Linked DNA regions of Rattus norvegicus. The protein of the gene in region 1 purifies or fractionates together with the protein of each later gene. This does not show direct contact. Links are inferred from orthologs where the notes say so. Each region holds a gene or a part of one and is shown on either strand. Other genes may lie near its edges.

Region 1 (10,563 bases):
ACTGTCACTGTCCAAAGCCAGTCTGCCACCCGCATCTCCTGCCACTTCCCTCTGGCTCATATCCTTAGCCCTTCCAAGGAATTGGGGGCCGAAAGACAGCAGAAATCCATCTCCTTCTTGCCCTCTATGCCCCATGGCCAACCTGCCCAGTTCCAAAGCAGAATGTCATCTTCACAGGGCCAGCGTTGCTGTGTACATTGGTTTTCATTTGTTGATTTTGTGAGATAAAGCACATTTTAATCAAGAAAATTTTAACATTGAAGGCTCAGATTCTTCAGGGACTTAGGAAGGAAAATTTCCCACTCCCACTTTTCTTGTCATCATTGTTGGGTGACAAGTTTATCTGATCTTTAAGGAAGGACGAGCAGAAGACTTCCTTTGTCTGAATGTCTCTCTTCTGGGGCTGCCTGGCTGCCAGATGGTCTGTCTCTGTGGGTCTCTTGCCTACCTTCCGCACCCTGTCCAGAGTCCCCTGTGGAATGCTGAGATGGTGCTGTGCAGGGGGGCAATAGGGCACATCAGCTGGCAGAGACCAATGGTGGTGGCAGGGATGAGATGGATGGAGCGCATGGGTGGGCCAGCCAGAGGGAAGTGGAAAAGAAGGAAAAGAGGAAACAAAGGAAGGAAGCCAAGAGGGAAGAAAGCCAAAGAAGTTTGGGTGGCATTAAAGGGCAGGAGTGGGGGATCGGGGATGGTGTCCAGTCCCTGGGTCTCCATCAACTCTTGTCTGGGGGTGGGTCTCTGTGCACTTTGTTTTTCTTCATACTGTCTAGGTATTCCTGTTGGGACACTGCCAGCACCGATGCTAGGATCTCATCATCATCCCAATCATTCAGACCTGCTGGGCAGGAGAGAGAAGAGGACAATGATGATGGGGGGCACCTCGGGCCACTTTCCCTTATTTCTGTTTGATCCCTGGCTCTGGAAAAATCCATCCAGGTCTCCATCATTCATTGACTCCCTCAACTCTGTGAAGCCCCACTAGACCCACTGTGGAGAAAACCTTTGGGGCCTGAAATTTTCCCTCATGCCTCTGACTTGGAGAGATGGCCAGGGACTTCAAAAATCCTCCAGGCTCTCCCAACTTCCAGCTGGCCCATCCCCTAAGAGGGCTTACCAAAGGCAGAGGGGGACATCTGCTGGATGAGGGCCCGGCACTCCAGAGCAGGGTAGAGGGACACAAGAGGAGAGGTGGCCCGATCAGCCCCTGCTGAGAACTGACTGCTTGTACCTGAGGCAGATGAACAATCAAAGGTAGGGCCCACCAAGCAGAGCCTCTTAGCCCAAGCAGGCACCCTGAAAGCAAGTCACTGACCTGGTGCACAGGGTGAAGGAGGTTTGGCAAGAGCTAACACAGTGCCTGGGGAAGGGGGCTTAATGCCTAGCTCGGCATGCAGTTCAGGGTGCTCAGGTGACGAGGCTGAACTTCGTTGCCGTGGGGACCGACTAGTCCATTCCTCCAGGCCACTGGAGGCTGCTGCTGTGGCTGAACTGCATGTGGCACTGGCTTTCCGTGGCTGCAGTAGGGAAGGAAAAAGTGATAAGGACCTACACTGGCTATGACCCTCCTGTGCTGGAGTGCTTATACCCTTTTCCAGAATCCTGGCTACAGCATAGCTTTAATGTATCACAATGACTTAATCACTCCCATATCCTTAAAGGCATCTGACAAAGTCCTATTCTTTCAAGAGACCCTGATCTCATCTCCTGATTCAAACCCTGCTTTCCCCTTAGATTTGCTCTATAACCAGTCAGGGTGATCCTATCTCAAATCCCTTTTCTGTTCACAGCCCTCCCATGGTTTCTGCCTCATTCAGAGCAAAAGCAAAGTCCTCTCCAGAATTCACAAGCCACTATCCAACCTAGCCCCACTACCCTGACCGTACCCACATTCTGTTCAGCTTCAGGTATACCTAGGTTATACCAACTCTGCTGCCCTCACCCAGGCCTAGTTCTGTCCATGTACTCGGGTACCAAATTCCCTTTCTATGGGCTTTCTGCTGAGCTCTACCCTGATGACTGTTTAATACTGTGAACTCAAATCATCCTCACTCAGTCTCATGTATCCCCTGCACCAACTGTCCATTTTTCACCCATCATCCCTCCAACTCATTCATGAGGATTTTAGTTCACTTGGCTACTTGTGAGTAGCCTGAGGATAGGTACTTTGGCCTGCTAGGTTCACAATGTACCCCACTACACTAGGAATCTTCTGCTTCCTGCCACAGGCCTACAATATAAATACTTGCTGAACAGATTATTCAGCTCTTGTAACCAACAGTCATTCCATACCCCTCTTCGATTCCTCAGATGCATGCCTCCCTGCTTCCTACCCTAAAAATACAACCGACTAGGTCCCCCACCCCCACCTCTCCTGGTCTTGCACAACCAGAGTCACAGGCCTGACCAATGCCGTATCTGCCTCAACAGACAGGATCACAGAAGATAGTGAAGGAAAGGCTTTATATCCTCAGTACAGAACGTAGCATGCAAAGGGATTCCAAAAAAGCTGGTCTCTTTGTAGCTATCCATTGTTCCTTTGTGCTACCAGCAGTGGTGGCTGCTCTCTTCGTTTCTTAAAAGCTGCTCTCCTTCACTTCTTAAAATCAAGTGTTGAGAGTTCCAAGGTACGATGTCAAGACTAAAGATGAGATGAGTTATAGATGGGACTGGGAGTTTGCCTCTCTCCCAGATGTCAAAATTTCTTATTTTATCTCTGTTAAGTAGGGGTCAAAAGATAAGAAGTAATAGGTCTTGGTCAGGCCAATGACAGAGTCCATGACCCACCTGGCTGGGTCCCCGGACCTGGCGGGCCTGTTTCTCTTGATCCCTCAGCCACTGCAGGTAAGATTCTCGAGCCACCTGCTCCTCTATGGCCTCATTTGTGGCCTCCCAGTCTGTAGCTCGTTTCTTGTCTTCCAGCATTTGCTGTTCAATCCATGACTCTTCTGATGTCTTTATGGCATTCTTCATCAGGGACTGCTCTGCAAACTGCCAGGGGAGAGGAACAGGGATGTGCAGTGATGCTCTGAACCCAGGTAAGAGCCTGAATGGCTCAAGAAGGCAGGGCCTACAGGCCTTAGCAGAGACAACACAGAAGTTATTCTTACATAGTACTCCTCAGCAGACTGTGTACACATTCATCCATAACTGGAGAAAGCAGGCTTAGATATAAGACCTGGCATTCTGAATTCCTATGGTCAGAAATACTGGCCCAAACCCAAGATACCTCAAGTGAAGCACTAAGTCTGGAGATAAGAGGGGCTCTTCGGTCTAGGCCTTCGTTTAAAGAAGCCTCATCTAGCAATGACTCAATTTCACAGTGTTGAAGCCTTTCTCATATATTCCCAGATAAGGCAAAAGAAAAAGATGAACAGAGAAGTACAGACATGGAGTGGAGGCAGGAATCAAGCGAATACGAGGCTGAGTATGGCTATGTGAGGGAAGGAAGTATTGGTATCATGTGGGTGCTAGGACACTGTATGAGAAAACTTCACATCAAGTTGTAAGACACTAGGGCATTACTGGTTTGTTTTCAGACAGAGGGTCATGGCCTGGTCTGATCTTGAACTCACTATGAAAGTCAAGCTAGCCTGGAATTCATAGCAACCTTCCTGCTTCAGCCTCACAAGTGCTGTGATTACAGGCATGAGCTAGCTAGCACATCCGGAGATGATGCTAACGGAATAATAGAGAACGTCAATGTATATTTCAAGGATTGAATGCAAATACTGCTTCATAAAGTTTTGGTTAATGTTCCGTTTTTCAAAAACAATGGCTTGGTATGCAGCCAACCCAGGTTAGGTTTGAACTCATAATTCTCTTCCTCTGCCTCAAAAATACTAGAATTATAGGCATGTACCACCATGTCCCTAGTAACATCACTTTCATATACACATATATAACATACATAAAAGCATATATGCTAAACAACATAATTTTCTATCATGGTGCACACCAGGGGAAATATATGTAAAAAAGGCTAGATCAAGTCAATTTAAAAACAGGGCCAGCTGAGTGATAACAAGTGCATACACAAAAACCTGGGTTCCATTCCTCCAAAATGAGGAAAATGAAAACTAGGTAAGCCATCTGACCATTGCACAAGTAAAGCATAGGGATGGCAAATGGGCAGATGTAAGAGACCCTCAGCTGGTGATGAAGCTCAAGGGTGTAGCATTAAAACAATGCTCAACACATTTAACAATCAAGTAAACTTAAAAAACACTGAGAATGGTTAAAATTAAAAAGGTAGGAAGATGAAGTGCTGGAGAGAAGCGGAACAGAACTTTCATTCACTGTGATGGTGCCTGGAACAAATCAGGCCACTTCATACAAATAGTCTAGCAGCTGCTTACAAATCACACCATGGTTTTCAAATTCTGTAATTTTGCTTCCAGATATTAATAAAACTAATCATAAAATTTAAGTTCCTACAAAAACCTGAACCCAGCAGTTTACAGAAGCTTTGTTCATAATCATCAAAACCTGGAAGCAACCAAGGATATCTCTCAAATAGGTGAATGATTAAACCAACAGTGTGCCTCCACAAATGGAACAGTGATAACATGGCTAACAAGCCATGAAAAACCATGGAAGAACCTTAATGCATATTGCTACTTGAAAGCAGCATTTTAAAAAGCCTACATACTTATGAGTGCAATTACGTGACTTTCTGAAATAGGCAAAAACAGTCAATAAAGATCAGTGGCTGCAGGAGACAGAGTGGGGAACCTTCAGGGGCTGAAACTAGCTGAATGAATAGGTGCCTGAAAGATAGATGCACATTATTGTTATGCATCTGTCAAAACCCAAGGAACTTTACAAAACAAAGACTATTCCTTAATGTATGCTAATCGCTTTTTAAAGATTAGTTAAGAAGTAACGCTCTGGGGGCAAAACCTCCTAAAGAATTACAAATGTATGCAAAGACGAGCAGGCGGTGGCCTCAGGCATTAGAAAATGAATAGAATCAGTAACACCAAACACAAAGAGAGCATTGGGTATCACCGGACTCCAGGGGTCCAGTTAATGAGACCGCCCCAGCTTATACGGATATGTAAATAGCAGTCAGTAAGTGACTGCAGGGTGGTGCGGAAAGTTTTCTAAACTTTAAAGTGAAAATTTACTCAAAAAGGCTAAAATGAGGCAAATGGTCACAGGATTTTAACTAAAGACATCAGCAATAACCCTAAGTTAAATTAACATATACTTAGGTCGACAGACAGAATTCCCATCAGTGTGACTTCCTTCCTAACACTACAGCAGCCAAAAGGTGGGAAAATTCGTACGACGTCTGCCAGACAATCAACATCAACAGTCATGATCATATTCCCAATACATACTCTTGATGTATTTCTCTGTGCTCTTCTGCCCAAACCCAAAATCCAGGTTAAAATCATGAGAAGGACACCGAGAAAAAGAATTTCCCCGCAATACTTTTGAATAGTTCTCCTTAAAATTTTTGTGGTCATCAAAACAAGAGGAAGGAATGAGGCAGTAACTTCACATTAATATGAATGTCTGAATACCGGTTCACACCGGGTAACAAATGTACCAGTCTGTGCCTTGGGAAGAGATGGAACTGTATACTGAGAAAACTATTCTGAAGGTTGGCAAGACAGCTCAGGGAGTCAAGGGCGCCTGATGAACACAGAGAGCTGAGTTGTTTACAGACCTCCACACACCATTCCCCAAAATAAATAAATGTAAAATAATTTTGAACAATTAAGTCTATTAATTAGAGAAACTTTTTTTTTGTTTTTTTCGGAGCTGGGGACCGAACCCAGGGCCTTGCGCTTCCTAGGTAAGCGCTCTACCACTGAGCTAAATCCCCAGCACCCCCCCCCCTTTTTGTGTTCAATTAGAGAAACTTTAAAACATTCAGATTTTTAGAGAAAAAGAAAATAGTCAAGCCAGTAAAAGTTACAGATGAATCTTAAATGATGCTGCTATTAAGTTGAAAAAATTCATTCTGGAATAGCTACATACATGCAGCGTATTTCATATTATATGAGATTCTAGAAAAGACAAAACTGTGAAGTGGGTCACCAGATCAAAACAAAACCAGACAAATTCTTAAGAATTTGTTAAAATAAGAAGTCAAAGGGGACAAGTAAATGTGAGACAGAATCTTGGAAAAGGCTTACCAATAGGACACTGAGGAAATGTATTCTTAATGGACCCATACTGATTTGTTAAGGACAACAAATGTACTATGTTCATGTTAATCATAGCAGGGCATATGGAAATGCTAATATTCTCACAATCACTCTGCAAATATAAAACTTTTCTAAAATTTAGTAAAAAAGAAAAACAAGGCGCCCCTCCCCCAGGTTGGGGGTGTGTGTTGAAGTTGTTTCTTAAGATGAGGCAGGACCACCTTCTGTTTGTAGGAAGTGAAACCTGAATAGAAGTCTTCAAAATCCCCAGGAGGGGGTAAAGGGAAGACAGAGAAGAGGGAGGAGAGGGGGTGGGGAGGAGAGGAAGTGGGATAAGGAGTAGGGAAAAGAGTCAAGGAGGAAGGAAAGAGGGAGGATCAGAGGTGTCGACACTGAAAAGAGGGAGGATGGAGCAGGGAAGATGAGAGGATAGAGACTGTGAGACTATGAGAATGAATGATTATCTGCCAGTAGATGCTGGGCAAATGAACTGTAATCTTCTGACACCTAGGCGGCCTTGGGCCTGTGGGAAGGACTTTCAGTGTAGGCCCAACCTATACAATCTGCTCAGAGGGTACGCTCCAGCAAGCTGCTCTGAAGTTGGAGAAGATCCGTGTGGAAGCTTGGCTTACTGTTTCAAGTTGAGCTCTATATCCTAAAAGGCCACTCTCAACAAGCGTAACATGAGTGAGCCATCTCATGGACAGGCACATCAAAACCACAGAATGAGTTCTGATCAACAGTAACTCACTAATTTTATATAGAGATGAAACTTGGGTGCAGACATTTTATGGGCTAACGGCAGAGCCAATGATCCATATCTAGCAAATACCTGGGGCACAGGGACCCACTTACCCCTGGTTTAAATGATGGCAGGCCCAGCCCCACACCAATAGTGGCCTTGTTAGGATTCACCACTGAATTATAGTGGATATTCCGGTGGTAGCTGACACGGATGGGTTCATCTTCATTTTGATGGATCCCATGGAATGTGTTGATAGGTTCTGCAGAGAAAGAGAAGGAGGGAGCATCCACAGGGGCCCAGTATGGTTGGCTCTGATGAGGAACCATTAGGCCCTCACCTACCCACTACAGAAGTACCTGTGCTATACTGATACACCTCCACAGGACGGTTGTACATCTCTGCCATAGCCTGCATCTCAATGTGGTTCCCATGGCAGTTGTTTTTCCGCTTCCGATTGATATAGGTGGTGAAGTCTTCTGTGACATAGTTGGAAAAGTAATCGGCATTCTTCATCTGTGGAACAGATTGGAAAATTAAGGTTTGTGTGCAACAGGAATCCCCCTACCCTCCTGCTGCCCCAAGGCCTCCCCCAGGATCTCACCAGATAGTCCATGCAATGCTTTCGCACAACCTCATGCATGTCCTGGTCTCCATACACCTGGTCAGCTGGGGGTGTGGGGACAAAACAAAGGAGAGGATGGGGTCAGACCTGTCACCACCAGAGCTCTGAGTCAGAGTCATAGAACATCATTAGGGAGCAGATGGGCTAAAGGATTAGGGAAACTCCCTTTTCTATACCAAGGCCCAGAAGCTTTGAGTTGTGATAGAGTGGTGGTAAATAACAAGCAAGGGCTGAAAACATGCTCAACATGCACACATCAGCCAGGTGTAGTGGTACATGTCTATATCCCAGCCCTCAGGATGTGGACGTGGGATGACCAGATTATCTTCATCTATCTCCAGTTCTACTATAAGTTCAAGGCCAGGATAGGCTACATGGGACACTGTCTAAAAAAATAGGAGCAAAGTTGAACAATCTTGAAGAGTGAAAGAGTACAGGGGTATACAGGTTAAGAGTAGTATGGTCAAGGGCCAGCAAGATGATTAGTGGCTAAAGGGACTAGTTCAACCCCCAAGATTCTACAGTTGAAGGAGAGAACCAAATTGTTCCTTTAACTTGTCCTCTGCCCTCTACATGGTATTCATCCCAACCACCATACCCACTGATAAAAACGAAATAACAAGTTTTTCAGTTGGGGACAGTGGTGCATGTGTTTAATCCCAACACTCTGGAGACCAGCCTGGTCTACAAAGTGAGTTCTAGGACATCCAGAGCTACACAGAGAAACCCTGTCTCAGCGGGGAAAAAAAGAGGGCAGTATATACCTATAATCAAGGTTGAGTAGTCAAGAGAATTGTCAAGTTCAAAACCTAGATCACATGAGATCTAGTGAGAGTCTATTTCAAACCAAACTAAAGCAAACCCTACATTAAATACCTACCACCACAAAAAATAAATTAGAATCTCTTTTTTTTTTTGAGACATGGTCTCAGGATGTAGCTCTGACTGGTCTGATACTTGACATGTAGACCAGGATGGCCTCAATCTTAGAGTTCTGCCAGCCACTGCCTTCTGAGTGATGAGATTTAAAGGCATAAACTACCATCTGGAACTCATTCTGTAGACCAGGCAGACACTGAACTCAGAGATCTCTCAGTCTCTGCCTCCTAGTGCTGGGATTAAAGAGGTGCGCCACCACAGGTGGCTATGATTAGAATCTTAAAAACTGAAGGAAAGGAAGGAAAACACTTTAAGTTCAGCCAAATAGTAACTAGTGAGGTAAACAGCCGGAGACAAATGAGTCTCTGGGTTTCCTATGCCTCCTCTGTGAAGTGGAAAACAAACAGGTATGAGCTGACAGGTTTCTTGTGGACAATGGACAGTATGTGTAAAGTGGTAGAAGCCCTCTATCATCCAATTCAATGGTGTACACAGACTGATTCCATAAAGCCTCCAGTGATGGTAGTAAGGGGCAGTTCACACCTGAGCCCACTGGCAGCTCAAGACCTGATGTAGTAAAAGAAATCGAATACAGTTTGCTGAGCAGTCATACAGGCTGAGGCACAGGAAGCAGGAGTCTCTTAATTAATGTGGGCTTGAAGTTTAAGTAGACCTGACTTTCACTGGCTGCCTTGAAAAGGGAATTTCCCTGTGTTTCCCCAGAGATACACAGCTCTAATGGGATCCCCCTGAGGCAAAGGGGCAGAGGATGCTAGGAATGGGAACATGCCCACCAAGCAAGCCTGCCAGTCTACTTCTCTGAAGACTTGCCAGAAGGTCTTCACTGCCCAGTGATTCCCTCCACAAGGGTTCGTGTGATATAGGAATCAAAGGCTGCACTGAGTGAGATAGCAAGTGGGCAGCTCCAGCCTCAAGTCATCCCAGAGGTGACGATACCTGAGGGGTGGAGGAGAAGGGGCTGTGAAGGCAGGAAGGGGTAGCCCCTTCACCAATGTAAACAAGGATGTGGCTTCTGTGGCCACACTCCCCCCTAAGTACTTCCAGTAAGTCACATGTCCTGCATACAAGCTGGGGGTGGGGTGGGGGGGCTGCTGCTGCTGCCTTTCTTAGAAGCCAGGACCACAGAGGCTGCTGTGGCTGCCTAGGCTGCTGGAGGAGCTATTTTTGTAGGCTCAGCTTGGAGGCAGTGCAGTCGGCAGCTGCCACAAACAGGAACTAAGATGGGAGTGAAGGGGTTAAATAGGGGTGAGCTATCAGGCTCAGTGAGCTGGGCTGAGATAATGGGAAGCATGTATCTCCTACAGAAGGTAACTTAAAGACCTGAGATTTCTATTTGTCAGAGCTAGATGCCAGATTTGGGAAAGGGGGTTCCCTTTATCTTGCCTTTGTCTGGTGAAAGTACGTGCTACCTCTTAGCTGTGCGGCACTGGACAAGGCCCTTCATCTCTGAGTTGAAATGCCTTCATCCATAAAGTGGGGACAGTAACCCTTCTCTTCTCAAAATGGTATTGTAAAGTAGAGGAGGGATAGAAATATCTCTCTATGGGAGAATATGGCATGCTAGGTTCAATCTTTGGTATGGGGATGGGACTATAAGAATTTGTCAAGTACCTAAGGCCTAAACAGTAGTCAAAACAGGCACTGCAGGCCAGGAACCTAGCACACACATGTCTTTATTCCCCACACCCAGGAACCTAGCACACACATGTCTTTATTCCCCACACCCAGGAACCTAGCACACACTTGTCTTTATTCCCCACACCCAGGAGCCTAGCACATACATGTCTTTATTCCCCACACCCAGGAACCTAGCACACACTTGTCTTTATTCCCCACACCCAGGAGCCTAGCACACACATGTCTTTATTCCCCACACCCAGGAACCTAGCACACACTTGTCTTTATTCCCCACACCCAGGAGCCTAGCACACACATGTCTTTATTCCCCACACTCAGAAGGCAGAGGCAGTAGGATCTCTGTGAGTTGGAGACTAGCCTAGAGAGTTCCAGGACAGGGACAGCTAGAGCTACATAGAGACCCTGTCTCAAACATAACAAAACAAACACAGACACTCCATTTGTTACGAAGACAGCAACTCCTATCATATTGCTAGTTACCCAGCAGTCAGTCAGTC
Region 2 (10,663 bases), about 46 Mb from region 1:
ACACACACACTACGGGATCATGTTCTCCCCTTCCCCTCCCCGGCCCCCGTCGCCCCCAGGTCCCTCTTACATGTGTTTGTTTTGACCATCCACCTGCCTTCACCATTCCTTTTCTTATACGGCATAGCCACCACATTCATTCCATATGTGGGATTTAATGAATGAACCTCTACACCAGTCCTTAGATTTCATTGATATTGTGTTCATTCATCCCTCCTTTGGTTTCCAAACCATTAGTTGGATCTACCCACATTTCCATCTTTTGAAAGCTGATCTGCCCTTCAGGTTAGAGCCAATAAAATGTTGAACTCTCTCCCTCTCCCTCTGGGTATTCATACAAAAAACATGAGGAGCACATTTAATTCACTTTGCAATTTCAACATTTATTTCTGATACCAAAACTTGACAACACACAAGGAAAAAAAAGTAATAGACAGAATAGCAAATAAATTTATCTTGCATGCCACTCTCAGTCAACAGGATGTGGCTCTCTAGATAGCTGTGTTTTGAAGGAATCTGAGGCTTCAGCCTCACTCAGGGAAAACTATTGCAAATGATGAGCAGTATCTGTGAACATAAGAAATGGGGGAAATAATTCAATTAGCTGTATAAGTAATAAGACCACAAACACCAAAGAGTACTCATACTCAGTACTTCCCTTTTCTCCACCATGGGCTGTACATTACTAGCTTAAGACTGTGAATACAATTCCCCCACTGAGCATATATCGATCCCCCGCAGAACCCTACCTGCTTAATTGAAAGTGATTTACTTACCTGACACTTTACTCAACCCAGAAGAAGCCAATGGCACCGAAGTTGGCGGCGAAGTTGGCGGTGGCAGTGCCGCTGGGGCCAATGATGGGGCCGGTAAAGGCCTGGGGAAACCTGGAGCGGGCATTCTGGTGGTATCTGGCCCAGAAGGTAAAGGGGATCCTGGACCAAGGATCTCCAAAATCTCCTTCCTCATCCCAGGTCAGCAGCTCAAACTCAATGTCATCCCAGCTCCAGGGCCCAGACACAGCCTCGTCTCCAATCCCCATGCGGTTTCTTGCTTCGGCCCGGGCCTCTGCCTCAGCTGCAGCAGCATCCAGAGCATCCAAGGCTTCATCTGCAGCTTCCATGAACTGTGCAGTCCAGTCACGAGGGTCTCTCTTCTGAACCTGCAATGAGAAATAAAAAACTAAACCAAACCTTATACAGTAGCCAAGATACATAATCAGTAAGAATGCAAAAAGAAAATACTGTATTATACACAATGGAATACTATCCAGCCTTTAAAAATGAAAATCCCAGTATTCATGACCATACGGGTGAAGCTGAAGGACGTTATAGTAAGCAAGACAATACAGAGACAAGTACTGTTTTTATTGACAAGTGGACAATCTAAAACTAGACTCACGGGCATAGACTAGAATGGTGGTTGCCAGGGTTAGCTTACGTGGGATGAAGAATAGGGACATATTCATCAAAGTGTATGAACTTGAGTTCGGTGTAATGATTAAGCTCTGTATCTATTATGCAGCAGAATGTCTATAAGGTAATGACTACTGTATATCTGTAAACTGCTTTTTCTTGTGTGTTACTATGTGTGTGCACATACATGTGCAAGTATGTGGAAGGACAGAAGGCAACCTTGTTTGTTGTTCCTCAGGTACTATCCTCCTTATTATCTGAGACAGTGTTTCTTAACAAGCAGGCTCCAGTGTGAGCCCATGAGCCCCTGTGAGCCCCTATTTCCACCTCCCAGCACTGGACTGCAAACACGCACCATCCCCTCCCTCCCAGCTTTTTACGCAGGTTCTGGGGACTGAACCCGATTAAGCTACCATGGATTCCGCTATTACCTCTGCAATGAATCTCAGCACTTTCATCTTGCTAGTCTCATGGTAGGAGCGGAGGCCCCAGAGGAACTCATACTCAGGAGGGTTGCTGTTGGGCACTCGTCTGTAGTCCAGGTATCTGAAGAGGAAAAAGTCTGTGTTTATGGGCAGTCTGCAACAAAATACATGCTAAATAATACTGTGCTAAAGTTGCTGCTTCAGGTTTTTATCATCTTGGACTACTACTCTTTCCTGAGAATGTGTACTATGAGAAAAGAGGACAGGCTTTACTAATAACTATGCTGTAAAAACATTCCACCTCAAAGCGTGTCTTCAGTAAACACTTCTGGATAATTCTGTGAACCTACAGGAGTGCTGTAAGTCACGTTTAAAGAACCTTTTCTGATGCAGACCAAGCAGAGCCAGAATTCTAAGGACCACTTACTTCTGCTTTACAAACTCGTAAGTAAGAAGTTTCCTCAGATCGCCAAGGAGGGGATGTCTGACCCTGATGGTGAAAAAGAAAACGACAATCAGAGATTCTGCCTGAAGAAAACTAGAGAGTTACAGACTGTCTTCCTATCTAATCTCATCATAATTTAAGACATCCCCTGCTGCTAAAGGATACTTCAGATGAAGGAGCCCAGTCGTACCCAGGACGTAGTCCCATCTTGCGCAGTGCTTCCCAGAGGACGGCTGCAATAGGAGGCAAGAAGAGAGAAGGCATGGAAAGTGAGCATGGAAATCAGACTGCAGCCAACCCCCAGCTCCAAGTCCAGTCACTCACCCTCAGTGGCACGGTTGCCATTCATGAAGATAATGCCCAGAATCACTAAGAGGAGGCCTAGCTTCGGTGTGTCTTTGGTCCTAGAGGAGTACAAAAAGAATACAGATATATACACACCCAGCAGCTGTTTACACGAAAAACCCCACAAGCTTACCAATTTAGCTTCTCCAGTATTCCTCAGTGGAGATCATTATGCCCCCACTCTGCCCATGACCTCCTATGTGACTGAATACTGAAACTCTTAGGCAAAAAGCATCACCAAGGAAGGCCATAACACATCCCCTTTCCCATCTTACGTTCCCAGTATGCCAGCCAGGGATTCAGGGGTACTGATGAGGATATACAGATGCTCTTCTTTGTCGATTTCCTTGAGCTGGATTCCAAATTTCTACAGAAGCAAGCAAATGACAGCACTTAGCATAACGTGCCAATAGGCAGGCAGTCACAGCGCTGTGAACCTTGTCCTCAACTCCAGTAGTTATCTCACACAATGGAGAATTTGACCGTCATTCTAGTTTCCCAGGTGTGGCTCTTTACCTTCTCCAGGACAAAGCATGCGCGTTCAATGATTTCTGGATAAACATCAGTGTATTCTCGGATGATATCTCTCAGCATTTCTGTAGGAGAGAAGGGAAGCACCAGGACTGAGCTGGAGCACAGTAGCAGCCCCTTGGCCAGGCCTGGTAAGGACAGCCCGGTCAGGCTCCTCAGAGGTAGAATCAGCTATGGGAGGGAGTGGACAGGACATCAGGGTCAGGAGAAGGGCCTACCTGAGCGCTTGATGGGCACCTTCGTGTAGTCTTTAAGCATCAAGTACTTGACCAGCTTATTTGCCTGGGGGGAAATAATTCAAATTAGGTTTGCAGAACACTTGGTTGATTACAAATGGAAGGACCACAGTAAACAAAGTGGAGAGGTATAGCACTTACTCTTTCCTGAAGAAGGGCCACATCTCGGGGCTGTGGAGGACCCTGGTTCTGTGAGGCACGAGAGTTGGGGGAGGATCTCAGATTAGGTGAGGGTCGTAAGTTCTGCCAGTCGGGTGGAATTGGCCAGTCGGCAGGGATCCAGTCAGGTGGAAAAGGCCAGTCAGAGGGAAAGGACCAGTCAGGAGGCATTGACCAGTCAGGTGGTAACTGCCAATCTGGAGGGCCTTGCCAATCTTGAGGGCTCTGCCAACTAGGTGGAGCCTGCCAACTGGGTGGGCTCTGCCATCCAGGTGTACTCTGCCAGGCCATTGGGTTTGGCCAGACAATTGGGCCAGGCCAGACAATGGGGTTTGGCCAGATCACTGGATTCTGCCAGATCACTGGGTTAGGCCAGATCACTGGATTCTGCCATGCAACGGGGTTCTGCCAAGCTGATGGTGTCTGCCTAGCTGGGGGACTCTGACGTGCTGGTGGGGTCTGCCTGGCTGTCTGGTTTTGCCAGCCTGATGGGTTCTGCCAAGCCAGTGGTGTCTGCCACAGCACATTAGGGGGTGCGCCAGGTGGGTTCTGAGTGGTTACTGGAACCGGAGCAGACCTCCAGTTCCCGGAAGCCAGCGAGGCACGCCTTTGGTCCCCATTGCTGTTCTCTTCCACATTCAAGTTATTAATCTGTATCATTAGAGAGAAGAAAATTTCAGGGTCACTATTAATCCTGGCACCCCCAGTAGCTATCCTAGGAAGTCCCTAGGAATCCTCACCTATACCTCACTAGCCATTAGCCACTTGGTTCCTCACTGTCTTTCAGGAAAGCATTTCATCTCCAAACCAGAGAAAGAAAAACACAAAGTGGAGCCCGGGGTTTCTCCCTTTCCTGTGCACTGCTTGGTTTCACCCTGAACTCATTTCTCCCTGACTGTGGTCTCTCTTGCTTGTGAGGTGGATCTTCAAAATCTAATGATAATTCTGGGTGAGCCTGCCTAGCTTAAGACATGGTGTTTACTGTCAAATGTAAGACGGTCTGCACACATACTGCCTGTGTCCTTGTATCAACTCATCATTAATCTGTGGACAACCGGGGGTCAGGAATAAATATTTATTTCAGCTCCCCCTACAACTTTGCCAAAATAGAGATATATATGTGCCCTTTATTTTGTTTGGAGCAAAGGAAATTCAAAGAAAGGAGAGACCTCAAAGCAAAGGGAAGCCAGCAGGGATCTCACCTTGCGGGTCCTCTTGCCCCGAATTATAGTCCGGGACTCCACATTCTGAGCCTGGGAGCCATCTGCTGAGGTCTGGGCTGCTGCACCGTCAGTTTCAGAGATACCTGCACTGGTCCCTACGTCAGCCATTTTGGCCTGGTTTACATTCTGGGTCTGGGCATCAGCTCCAGGGATCTTAGTGGTGTCATTCCAAGCCTTAGCTGTCTTAGGCTGGTTGTTGGTCATCTCATTGGCACTGGGAGACTGAGTGAAATTGTAGGTGGCACTGGGGCCAGCCTTAGTAGTGGTATTCTGACCCTTAAAGGCCATTTCAGACTTTTTAGCTGCTGATTTGCCTGTGGATGCTGCATGGGAAAAATCAGAGGCAGCATGTGGACCTTTAGAGGTGGCATTCTGTGACTTAAAGGCCACCTTAGGCTGATTCTTGGGCATCTCCTTGGCATTACGTGCCTGAGAGTAATCATTTGGCCCCTTTGTGGTGGTATTCTGGGCCTTAAAGCCTGTCTTAGGCCTGGCAGCAGCTGCTGAAACCTCAGTATCAGCCTTCTCATTGGCAGTTGGGGGCTGTGAACTCTGGGGACTAGCATTCGGCCCACTGGCAGCTGCTGTGGCCTGGCTGGTGGGCGGAGCCTCGGAGATCTGGATGGCTTCCATCAAGGTCTGCACAAGCAAGGCGCTGTCTTCTACAGAGGCCTCTGCCTGCAAATACAGGAGGGGGAAATTTTAATCTCTGGGCCTTACAAGCCAGACCTGAAGGAGGGGCACGGCGCAACGCAGCAGGGGAACTGTAGACAGGCGTTACAGTACTCAGACATGGGGGCAGAGGCGGGTCAAAGGGAGGCGGGGCGGGAACAAAATTTAATTAAAGGTAGAGGGGGCAGGGCAAGGTGAGGGACAGTCGGAGGCAGCAGGGGCTGGTGCGGAATGTGGTGCAAGCACTGAACCCCGAATGGGTTTAGAGACAGACTCGTGAGGCTTGCCGTGGGGAGCTCAAGACCTGAGGACGGAGGAATTGAGGAGGATAAACAGAGGAGGGTGGAGGGGGAGTCTCGCGGCGTGGAGAAAGGGAGGGTGGAGGCGAGAGGTTGGGGGATGGGGCGACAGACTGCTCTACACGCGTCAGGGTTATGGAAAAAAAATGGTTCCTTACCCAACCCGCATTCTCTGGGCAGAATGCCCTGACTAACAGGGTCTCCCCTTTCTCTAAGCAGGGACCGATGGCTGAAAAGGGCCGCCCCTCCCCCCTATTCGATAAACGCTAGAAATTTGAGAGCCCGCGGAGTCTAGGCCGGAAGAAGGGCAAAATCAGATCCTGCCATTTGCGCGACCTGAGGGGCCAGGGGTGGGCGTAATCTGTCAGCAAGGAAAATGGAGGAATTGGGAGCGGGGTTCTCACCTGGAAGCCGCGGAGGCCTGCACCGCCGTCCGGTTTCTGAGCCATAGCTCTTGTCTCTCTGGCAAGAGCAGAGCCTGAGGGGGGTGTGGGAGAGGAACTAGGCATTATACTACAGAAGGAAAATACGTAGGACCGAATTGTGTGTGCGCGTGTGGTTTGATTATGGGGGCGGGTGAGGTGCTGGGTACGGGGAGAAACAGGCCTAACTGAAGCGGGAAAAGTAAATGGTCGTCCCGATAGACAATCTAAAATTTCCAGAAGCTGACAGGTAAAAGCTTCAAATCCGCGGTTTGGAATCAGATAAGCGCTCTGAATGCGGTAGTTTACAGGGGCGGGGGGGGGGGCGGTTAGCGGGGAGAGGTTCGCGTCTGTAAAGTTGAATTAAGGCTTTGAATCTAGAGGAATCGTATAACGGATCAAGGTCGGGAAATAGGATTCAGTGAAGGAATTGGATAAAGATTCAGGGAATGAACGGGAGTTCGAATTAGAAAGGGTCGGGAGCGAGGTGTAAGTCCGGGGTAAGGCAGAGGAGGGGGTTTCTGAATTCAGGGAAAGGGGATTGGGATAAAAGAATGGGGGAAGGGCGCCACACCAGGGGGGCAGATGCCCAGTCCGGGGGCGGGTCTCACCTTGCCTCAGGCCCCAACCCCAACCCCCTTCGTTGCTTCCTTCTTCACGACTCAGAGGATCGGGACTGCTCTGCTCCGCTCTCTGCACCCGCACTCTCTCCTTGTCCAGGAGAAAATGCCAGCGCGGCAGCTCGGGCGACCCCGCCTCTTCGCCTAATATACCACCCACCGCCTCAGGAAGCCCCGCGCATGCGCAACAGATCACTGTCCAAATAAGAGTCCCGCTTGCTTTCCCAACAAAAGCTTCATCCTGGAGACCTTGTCGCGCATGTGCACTTGGAGGAGATCCCGCCTCTTTGCCAGCACACTATCCCACCGCCAACCAGGTTGACAGTGTACAAAGGTTCCTCCTCCCCTTCTCCTTACGCATCCACTCCTTCAACAGATGCGCAGCGCCTTTTGGTCCCACCCCCTTGCCCAACACACCAGCCCCCTACCTTTATCCGCAATGCGTCTCTTCTCAGTCCCGCCCTTTTTCCCGAACTCTCTCTAGCCAGGTCCGCAACTACCTCCCACCCACTTGCTTAGAGCCTCTTAGGTAGGCCTCTGCGGGGGGTCTCTTATTTCGACACAAACTAGGCCTCTGCTGAGTTCACGCACTTTGCAATGCAGAAACCTTAAAGGCAGGGGCAAAAAAAAAAAAAAAAACAAAAACAAAACGTGACAGAGCTACCAGGGCAAGGGTCAGCCTGGGGATTCTATAGGTTTCCTCTCACGAGACTCAGAAAATTAGCGTTTCTCTCGCCCTTTTTGCAGTTTTTGCCAAAGAAATATTTCGTGAGGGGTGGGTCCGAGAGGTGAGGGAAGGGCGTAGGGCAGTGGGCTCTGTCCTGGAGCTTGGTTTTCTCACAGGCAGCCTCAGGAGATGGATGGAGGTCAACATTCTCATTTAACACGTCAGGTAGCTAAAACGTAAACCCGCTGTATGGACCAGGGCATTGAGCTAGTAACAAACAGAAAAGACAATATTTGCTTAAACACACTGGTAATCCCAGCACTCCGGAGACCGAGTTCTAGGCCAGCTTTGCAACTCTGAGACTTTATCTAAAAGACAAACAAACATCCATGTGGGGCCTGGATGATCCTGACTGAAAATCTGCTCTGAGAATAGAGGCATTCCTTAATCCTCTATTGGAATAACAAGCTTTCCTCTCCCCAATATTTGTTCCAAGGGAATGAGGCTTGTGTTCTAGGAGGCCTGGTGTATGTGGGAACCCTTCAGGTTCACTCTGTGCTCCTCTTGGCAGGCAGTCTCCAGGAGTGAGACGGCGGGCTTTTTTGGTGCCTGCTGGAGCAGCCAGGGTAGTCAGGTGTGTCTGCCCTGTTCTTGCGGAATGAAGCTGGGCTTGGCTTTAGAATTCCAAGATGAGTGTCTGGCCTATCTGTCTCTGGCTGTGTGAGCCCCTGAGACATGGTCACTTTAGTGGACCTCTCTGAGCCTAATTTACTCACTACACAAAATAGGAATCCCAGGAAGAGAGTCGTGTCCAAGGACACACAGTCTGCTGTGCCAACATGGCTGGAGAAACAAACGCAGAAAAATGGCATACAGATGTGGTGACTCAAACCAAACCCATACGTTCCCGAAACCCCAGGCAGATCTGAGCGCATTTCCCATTTATTCTGGCGTCAGCTCCTGACAGGAGCCTGCATATGAAAGCAAGCTAATGCTAGGAAGGACCGCAGCATTCTGTCCCCAAGGGCCAACATCAATTCTGCCAGGCTGGATGACTTCCCTCATCTGTTGCATAGCAACCTCCCCTGTCAGCTGCCTGTTTTTCCTCAGCACTTCCTCTGTAAAGTGTCTGCAGTGGGACGTGATCAGACTCGGGAAAGGAGGTCTGAGGTGCCATTTTATGTATCATCTGCTTCCTTCTGTGTCTGTATCTTCAGTCATGGGCCAGCCTATACCGCGTAGACTCGTACCCTGCTGCCCACTCCCTTCTCCAGGTGGATATTTTTGATATTCTCAAAATTATTTCCAAATTTATACACACACACACACACACACACACACACACACACACACGCAGGCACACACACATATCCTCCTCACCACTGTTTCCTTTAGTTTTGTTCTTTTTGTCACATGAGATTGGGAACTCCTTTAGGGATGTGGAGTTTGCCTAATTTATTCATTGTTGTACCTTCAGCACGATGAACAATGCCTAGTACATTTTATATTCTCAATAAAGATTGTTTGATAAATGAATGAATCACACAATCTACCCCATTGCTAAAACGAGGAGCCTGAGTGGAAATTTTTTTTGCCCGATAAATTCACTTATTTTTTTGTCATATACAAAGACATAATTTACTATGGAAACAGTTTATAAGCATCACTGACGATTGGAAATGTTATCTAAATGCTATTGAAGTTAAGTAATCATTTTTGAATCCTCACCACCTTGAACCAGTGGCTAAGGCTTTTATACTACCTTTTCATATAGCATTTTTAAGCACAGGCACACAGCTTCTTACATAAATTAGATAGTATGCATGTGGAAAATATTTTACATTGCACTCTTTGGCTTAATACTCCACATTCGTCTTTCAGTTCTATCAGAGGTGCATTGTTACCGTGCTGTTGAAATCCCTGCTTGATCAAAGAGTCATGTTTTTATCATTTGACAAGAACCCGGAGCATACGCGTTTTTGCGTGTTTTATCTTATCAAAAAACTCTTTTTCTGCGTCATTCTTTAAAAATGCTTAACGTTCTTTTCTGCTTCTGTTTGCTCATGTTGTAACAGGGATCCTGGTGTTAGCTGAGTTCATTTTGGGGGAAAAGCAAGGGACTGGCTGCCCACGAAGGACAAAAGACTAAAATATAGGAAAAGCTGGAAGGAGGCAGGGTCACAGGTTCTTTCCTTGGGACTAGGAGGGGAAAGTGGGAGGTGAGAGTCTGAGGGGTGGGTATGAGTCTACATAGGCTGCTTCCTTGTTGTTGTTTTAATTAAAACCCCTGAGCTCCCCTATTTTTCTTATTTCTTGTCCAGATGTTTGTCTCTGAGCAGTACCGTCTTTCTAACTTTCCCTCAAAGTGTATGTGGGTTTATCTCTCGGTGTGTACTCCACATATGTGCTGTCTTTTGGATGCCAGAAGAGAGTTGCGTTCCCTGGAACTGGAGTTACAGAGGTGGTTGTGTGCCACCTGGTGTGGGTGCTGGGAACTGAACTGACATCGGCTAAAACTGCCGGGCTAGCTCCTTTTTTTTTTTTTTTCTTTAAACATTTGTCTGTGTGTACGTAAACAGATTTACATTTCTTTGAGTTAAATGTACAACAGTGCAATATCTGGAGCTTATAGTAAGTGTGTGTTAGCTTTACAAGAAGCTACAGATCTTTCCTAGAGTGGCTGAACCATTTTACATTCCATTAGCCACATATAAGTGCTTTAATTTCTACAAATCTTTCGTGACATCTGAAGTTAGAATTTTTAGCAACAGTGTGTAGGAATAGCTCACCATGATTTTAATGTGCATTCACTTGGTGGTTAACTGAATATATTTCGGCGTGATAATTTCACACCCAAATCTCCCTTTTAGTAAAATGTCTCTACATACATTTTATCCATTTTCTATTTGGGTTATTTTATTGCTTTTATTTAATATGTTGGATCTTGGTAAGACCACTGCTGCACAAAGGTGAGGATCTGAGTTAAAATTCCTAACCCACATGTAAAAAGCTTGATATGGTTTTGCACATCTGTTGTGGGGGTGATGACAGGAGAATTGCTGGATCTTTCTGTCTGGCAATGAAAGACTTTGCCTGGGAATAAAACAGAAGCACCTGACATCCTCCTTTGGCCTCTATGAGGGCATGGGTGTTTACCTACATACACATGTACACATATACCACACACACTCGCCATACTTATAC

The links.
Region 2: the proteins of Otud5 (region 1) and Maged1 purify together in Homo sapiens (affinity purification with mass spectrometry, with the first as the bait; 3 studies listed by BioGRID). This does not show direct contact. The link is inferred for Rattus norvegicus from reciprocal best matches to the Homo sapiens genes OTUD5 and MAGED1.

What each region holds. Positions count from the first base shown.
Region 1 is NC_086039.1:17,298,314-17,308,876, forward strand, and holds part of Otud5 (OTU domain-containing protein 5), read right to left. Parts: intron 9,365-10,563; coding exon of another isoform or gene 9,339-9,364; exon of another isoform or gene 7,579-9,338; intron 7,573-7,578; coding exon 7,508-7,572; intron 7,420-7,507; coding exon 7,263-7,419; intron 7,166-7,262; coding exon 7,017-7,165; intron 2,992-7,016; coding exon 2,788-2,991; intron 2,642-2,787; coding exon of another isoform or gene 2,636-2,641; exon of another isoform or gene 1,518-2,635; coding exon 1,316-1,517; intron 1,232-1,315; coding exon 1,118-1,231; intron 842-1,117; coding exon of another isoform or gene 839-841; coding exon 717-838; 3' UTR 1-716. UniProt on the Homo sapiens protein: Deubiquitinating enzyme that functions as a negative regulator of the innate immune system. Has peptidase activity towards 'Lys-48'- and 'Lys-63'-linked polyubiquitin chains. Can also cleave 'Lys-11'-linked ubiquitin chains (in vitro).
Region 2 is NC_086039.1:63,416,102-63,426,764, forward strand, and holds Maged1 (melanoma-associated antigen D1), read right to left. Parts: upstream 6,885-10,663; 5' UTR 6,784-6,884; intron 6,229-6,783; 5' UTR 6,200-6,228; coding exon 6,155-6,199; intron 5,458-6,154; coding exon 4,759-5,457; intron 4,208-4,758; coding exon 3,539-4,207; coding exon of another isoform or gene 3,508-3,538; intron 3,444-3,507; coding exon 3,380-3,443; intron 3,254-3,379; coding exon of another isoform or gene 3,227-3,253; coding exon 3,147-3,226; intron 2,998-3,146; coding exon 2,906-2,997; intron 2,690-2,905; coding exon 2,610-2,689; intron 2,519-2,609; coding exon 2,476-2,518; intron 2,331-2,475; coding exon 2,268-2,330; intron 1,962-2,267; coding exon 1,847-1,961; intron 1,163-1,846; coding exon 785-1,162; 3' UTR 777-784; intron 568-776; 3' UTR 363-567; downstream 1-362. UniProt on the Homo sapiens protein: Involved in the apoptotic response after nerve growth factor (NGF) binding in neuronal cells. Inhibits cell cycle progression, and facilitates NGFR-mediated apoptosis. May act as a regulator of the function of DLX family members.